Linked DNA regions of Danio rerio. The protein of the gene in region 2 purifies or fractionates together with the protein of the main gene of each other region. This does not show direct contact. Links are inferred from orthologs where the notes say so. Each region holds a gene or a part of one and is shown on either strand. Other genes may lie near its edges.

Region 1 (4,217 bases), on a different chromosome or scaffold from region 2:
CTAAGATGATTTGGCAGATCCTGGATCTTTTAATCTTGATAACTGATCTCTCGCTAATTTGGTTCTTCAAACAAGTTCGCGAATCAGATTAGAATGTCTGGATGAACTGATCTGAGATCGCTGCATGTGTTATGAAGGACAGATCTATCGATCCTCGAAATCATGATCAGCAATGCAACGATTGGCTGACGGCACAGCAGCGTAATGACATCATCTGATTAATATTCAATTATCCATGTGAGCAAAATTACATCAAATTAGCAGTAAACGGCTTGTTAAATATGACATGCAATAACCTTCCACATTAGTTGTGAGCTGCAGGCTTTACACTTTCATGTGTAAAGAGTATTCATCATGTTTTTCAATGCAAATCAATGTATTTAGTTCTACATTTAGAAAAGATTTCCTTTATTATAGTAGCTGTTTTTTTAATCTGTGTAAAGAATAACTGGTTGTTTACAAAAGCATTTTGATATTGGTAAAGGCATCTGCAACTTTTGTGAAGCATCAAATCACTGGCATATTAACTGTCAAAACATGTTTATGACTGCATAAATGTATTATTGCTTTAAAAAAGTCACATACTGTGCATTTCTATTATACACAATTTGTACTAAAGTGATCTAAAAAGTTCATATCAATAAGTTTTCTCTTTGCACCACCAGGTGGCAGTTTTTGTACTTTCATTTCGAGGGTGCAGATTGCATACGTTTTATTAATATGTATAACTTTATTTATTTTATTAATGACTATAACTTTATATATATAGTTAAAAAATATGTACCATTTTCCCAAGTGTACATAACTATACTGTAAGAAAATATCAGAATTCAGAACATACTTTCTGTATTATCTTTGCTTGAACTGAGCCAATCTTATCCTGTTTATATGAATTGAACCTGCTCCCGATCAGGTTTAAGCTAGCAGAACTGTTGCTATGACAACAACTCTCGGATCAGCTTTGAAGAACGAAACGATCCTGGATCGTGTTAAATCGTCAATATCCAAATCCAGCTAACTGAGTAATCCACGTACGAAGAACAGACCCCTGGTAACAACCAGTACAGTGCAAATATGGCTGCAACATCAAACTATGAGGCTAAAAGAAAGCGTCTGTTTCTAAAGTCTTGGAAGCAGACAATCACATGGGTACAATATTAAGAATCTCAACGAAAAAAAAAAATATTTGTCTTCAGTTTAGCAATCTTATAAAAATAATTTAGAATTGCAATAAAATACCAGCACATTTTCAATACTGCTCTTTTGTTTGCATAAAATCTTGAATTTTGCTCATTATATTTTATTAACATTTTTAAAATGTTTAAATTCTACATTTCACAGATATTATTTTGCCACTTAAAAATTTTTTTTTTTTATTTAAAATATGTGGCTTAGAAATAGCAATTAACTTTTTTATTTTTTGGTGGGGGCAGTGAAAACTTTGGCAGGGCAAGTAAAAATCTCAACCTCTGGCCCGATTGGCCCAGTAGAAAAAATCCTTAGCGTTGAACCCTGCATAGTATTTTTCAAAAAGGTTGTTCACTGAAACAGGATATGCGTTGAAAATACCATAGTATTACCATGGTATGTAAATAAACATACCCTTAAACTACCATGGTGCAAATGGAAAAAAAATATTGCATGGTAATTTTAGCAAACCGTTTCCATGATAACGATAAACACAGAAATAATGTATTTTCATGGATAATAAATATTTGGATTTGGAGTATATGTGAACAAATTTGATAATACAACAAAACAAGGTCAAAGTTTAAAATGCCATGGTAAACATAAAAAAACATGGTGTGTGTATATATAAAGTACATCATAGCCATGGTAAATTACCAAGCAATGTTCAATGAAGCACGGTAAATGGCCAAAACAAACAATAAAGATGTTGCACTCTCAGCATACAAACAACATATGACCTTACCATAGTGCACAAAGTGAAATTACATTGTATATTAACAAAGAAAGTCTTGCTAAATGTCAAAAATACTAAGAAAATACTATGGTACTTATAAAGTGTAAAATATAGCTTTACATTGGTAAATGCAAAAGCATTGTGGCATTACAACTGTGTATTACCAAAGAAAGAATGTTCACTGAAACATAGTAAATATCTCAGTCAATGTGCTGTTTCTTTTTTCTTTTGAAACATAAAAGAAGATATTTTGAAAAATGTTAAAACCAGCATTTTTAAAGTTTTTTTCCTGTAATACTTTCTTTTGTGTTCAACGTTTGAAACCCCTTTGTGGGGAGTTAAAAAGTAAGTTTTCATTTTTGGATAACCCATTTTAGCTTTAAAATAACATAATATACAAACACTAACTTACGTCCTTACCACTGTCTAGTAACGTTATTATTAATATAGTATCAATTATCACATAGTAATTACTCAAAACACCGAGGTATAGTCATTGTGTACACACCCAAAAACATGCTGTTACTGTTAGTATCGTCGAGAGCAGTTAATACTTAATATGTTGTCTAAAACATACTAATATGATACACATTTAAGCTCATTTTTCAGATGTGTTATTGTTTTAAATGATGCAGCATCTGCTGAAGGTGAGAGTCGCAGCATCACTGACCTGCACCGCCGCCGGAGGAGTCCTGTGAAACTCCCGCCGCAAAACCGCTGAAACGGCACTCTGAGACACAAATACACCGCCAACATCAGTCTAAACACTCTCATCTAACAAACACCACCGCAATATGCAGATAACAGCTCATATTCACACATAAATACCTTCCCCGAGCGCAGGAAACACCTCAGAGACGCCATGTTTCACTGTCCTCTGTACGGAGGCGGGCATGTCATCCCAGCGGCCGCGGCCAATCAGAGAGCGCGTTGTAAAAGCAGAACAGGAAACGCGAGGAAAGCGGCCAATCAGAGTGGCGGATTCATGACTGAAGCGGAAGTTGCCGTCAGACTGTCACTCCGCGTCCAAGGGCAAGAGAAGAATCTTTTTATAGAAACCAAAAATCTGTGATTTTTAAATCAGTTGCTTCATTGTTGAATGTAAACTGGGCACTTTTGAAATATGGTGCGGGGACATGTTGAAAAAGTCTTAAACAAGTTGCAATATGCTTTAAAATAGGACCAATAAGGTCATTTTATGATTTGTAAGTATTAAAAGACATTAAACTAGCTATTAATATAGTTATATAGTTCATATTAACAATTATATACAGTTAAGTTCTTATAATTTCTAATATACACAGTTTAATTATAACATTTTTCTACACTGCTGGGGAAAACAGCTTAAACCAGGCCAGGCTGATTTTCTGATTTTAGCTGGTCGACCAGCCTGGTTTTTGAGGGGTTTTGGCCATTTCCAGGCTGGTTTCCATGATGTAAATACAGTCAAATTAAAGCTGTACAGTTAAAGCACATCTTGTTCGTTTCATTTTAAATCGTGTTGGTGTATAGAGCCAAAAATGTGAGAATTGTGTAGATGTCCTAATATTTATGGACCTAACTGTATGTGTATATATATATATATATATATATATATATATATATATATATATATATATATATATATATATATATATATATATATATATATACACATTGAAACTTTTGTTTATATTTTCTAGAACGACTGACCAGTTAAAGGAGCAGAAAACATCTTAAACATGAGTATCTGTAAAACACGTTTATTTTCCTCTTTGAAAGTACAAAACATGTTTAGAACATGTTTTGTACTTTCAAAGAGGAAAATAAACGTGTTATGGATGTTTACAGTATACAAGATACTTTGTAGCAATTCTGTGAATTAAACTGCACAACCCAAAATAAATAATGATAATCAAAAGGACATGTTTGCTGTCTATAAAACAAAAAAATATTGGTTTTATTATGTTAAGTATTTTCACATTTATGAGGAAAAAGTGTCGCTATGGATGTGACAGATGTGAATTTGCCACTTGTGTGACTTTGGTAAATCAAATAGAATAGTTGGAAAACATTGACAAGCAGTGTTGAGTATTTCTAAAGTACTGTAAAATACTTGCTTACACAAAAAACCCTGAAACGGATTCCGTATTTTGGTGAAAGCTTAATTTTCTTTCATGGAAAGGTTGACATTTGCACATAATTGCTCATCTACAGTTGAAGTCAGAATTATTAGCCCTCTTCAAACTTTTTTTCTTCGTTTAAAAATATTTTAAAATGATGTTTGACAGGAAATTTTCACAGTATGTCTGAT
Region 2 (2,251 bases):
AAACTAAATCAAACATGGAGAGTCTCAAAACCCCTTTTGTATGAGGAACTACTTTCTTCCGCCTTGGATTCAAATCATAAGCTGACAGTGAAACAGCTGAGCAAGCATCTTTTACACTTCAGATGTGGAGTGTCTGCTTTCTGCTGGCTGTATGTGGGCGGAGTAATACACAAACCGTAAAGAGGCTGTAAGAGTTCTGATATTGCAGAATATCGCACGGCTTTCAGCCAATCAGATTTGAGAACCAGACAGAACTGTTGTGTGTGTGTGTGTGTGTGTGTATATATATATATATATATATATATATATATATATATATGTATATATATATATATATATATATATATTAACAGTTAATTTGTCTGTATTACTATATGTTGTAATTATAATTGCCAGCACTTTATGATTTAAAAACAATATTTTACTTACTATAAATTACTCCAGTGTTTAATGTGGGAAATCATTAATAAAAAAGTTATTAGAAATAAATGCTATTCAATCACTGGAGTACAAGATTAATATAGTGTTCTACATTCATTAAAAGATTTGCATGACATATAAAGATCTATTATATACATATTAACTGGCTCTTTTCCCTTCATTATAATGAATCCTTCATATAAATGAAACCTGTCCAATGTAGATGGTGTATATCTCTGAAAACAGCAGTCAGCAAATAAATATCTGCTATACTGACTCTGACATATAATAATGACGACTGATGGAAAACTCTTCACACTGTTATATTGAATGGCGATCAGAAACATTGATCCCCATTGCCATATTTGTGAAATAGTAAACACTATTGTTTATTGTGTACGATATTTATTAACAATATACATATATAAATATATTGATGATGATGTCTGTCATTAATAACATTAACATCAGCTCGTAACCATCTATGGTTTGCATAGATGGTGTGTGCCTGAAACGTGTGTGGCTCTGCCTGAGTGTTTGCTGCACTGGCAGAGTTTGACCAGCAGGTGGAGCCAGCAGCTGCTCTGAACACTTTGGAACGGTAAATCATTGATGAAGTGATCAGTTTCATTGATCAAAGCTGTAATTAAAGGAAACAAAAATCATCCTGTCATCATCTACACTCTGTTCACTTCTCCACAGCTGTTTGAGTTGCTTTTGTTGATGTTGAAGACAGAAGAAGATATTTTGAAGAATGTTGGAGACCTGTAACCATCGACTTCTACAGTAAGTGTTTTTCTCACTACAGACATCAGTAGATTCAGCTTCCCTATAATATCTGCTTCAGTGTTCAACAGAGGAGACACACTGCTGACGGTCCAGAAGCTCCTGAGTAAGTGAATGCTGATATGTGGTGAACGACACCGTGCAGACGCTCACCTGAAGGATCCTCCCTGATACTCCTCTGGCAGGAGTTTACCATCCCGAGCCTTCTGTGCCAGAGCCTACACACACACACACACACACACACACACACACACACACAGGAGGTCAGCACACAGCAATACGACTGTCTGAGGTATTGGGCGTGGCTAACACACTTAACCACGCCCCTCCAGCTGTCAGTTTTGTCATCGCTATGACAACAGACAGAATGGTGAGGAGGAGGAGTCTGTTAGGCTGTAATAACTCTCCCCAAACCCTTCTGCCATCTCTCTGAATGACACGCCTACTTTACTACAGCCAATCAGCTCGCAGTAGAACAAACAAGCCACGCCCACTGTTTACCGATTAAATATCGTGTTTCTATGGTAACAGCAGCACAATAAGGGTAAAACCGCAGCTCCCGGCTCATGCAGACTATAGGATTCTGACGTAAAGCAGATGCTGGACCTCCTCACTCCTCTGTGTGTGTTGTTGAGAGTGAGGAGCACATGTGTTCGGGCCTGTTCTTCACCTTAGCGGTGCTGGAGATCTCCTGCAGGCCTTTATCCGCCGCGTCTCTGATGATGGGCGTGATCAGGCCTCGATCCGTCGCCACCGCCATCGAGATGTGGATGAAGCCCAGCGGCTGCGGCCCGTCAGCAGACCACGACACGTTCACTGCAGGCAGCTCCTGCACACACACACACACACACACACACACACTGTTTATTAGAGATGACCCATACACATCAAGTCCCGCCTCCAAAACAAGCTCCTCCCTCAAACTCAGGCAGTAATCAGCCAGCACACGGCTCTGATCATCTCCTCAACAGACTATAACCACACAGCTCATCCTGCCTGAGGAGCTCTAGTGTGGAGCACACATGCAGTATAGATCAGAGTAGTA

The links. Proteins that work in one complex are often made in the same cells at the same time.
Region 1: the proteins of pdhx (region 2) and pdhb purify together in Homo sapiens (affinity purification with mass spectrometry; 4 studies listed by BioGRID and IntAct, counting the BioPlex papers as one, with this or other methods). This does not show direct contact. The link is inferred for Danio rerio from reciprocal best matches to the Homo sapiens genes PDHX and PDHB.

Annotation. Positions count from the first base shown.
Region 1 is NC_133197.1:9,846,491-9,850,707, reverse strand, and holds the start of pdhb (pyruvate dehydrogenase E1 component subunit beta, mitochondrial), read right to left. Parts: upstream 2,801-4,217; 5' UTR 2,789-2,800; coding exon 2,753-2,788; intron 2,655-2,752; coding exon 2,595-2,654; intron 1-2,594. UniProt on the Homo sapiens protein: The pyruvate dehydrogenase complex catalyzes the overall conversion of pyruvate to acetyl-CoA and CO(2), and thereby links the glycolytic pathway to the tricarboxylic cycle.
Region 2 is NC_133200.1:40,153,115-40,155,365, forward strand, and holds part of pdhx (pyruvate dehydrogenase protein X component, mitochondrial), read right to left. Parts: intron 2,036-2,251; coding exon 1,877-2,035; intron 1,425-1,876; coding exon 1,360-1,424; exon of another isoform or gene 1,268-1,359; intron 1,207-1,267; exon of another isoform or gene 1,123-1,206; intron 1,022-1,122; exon of another isoform or gene 918-1,021; intron 1-917.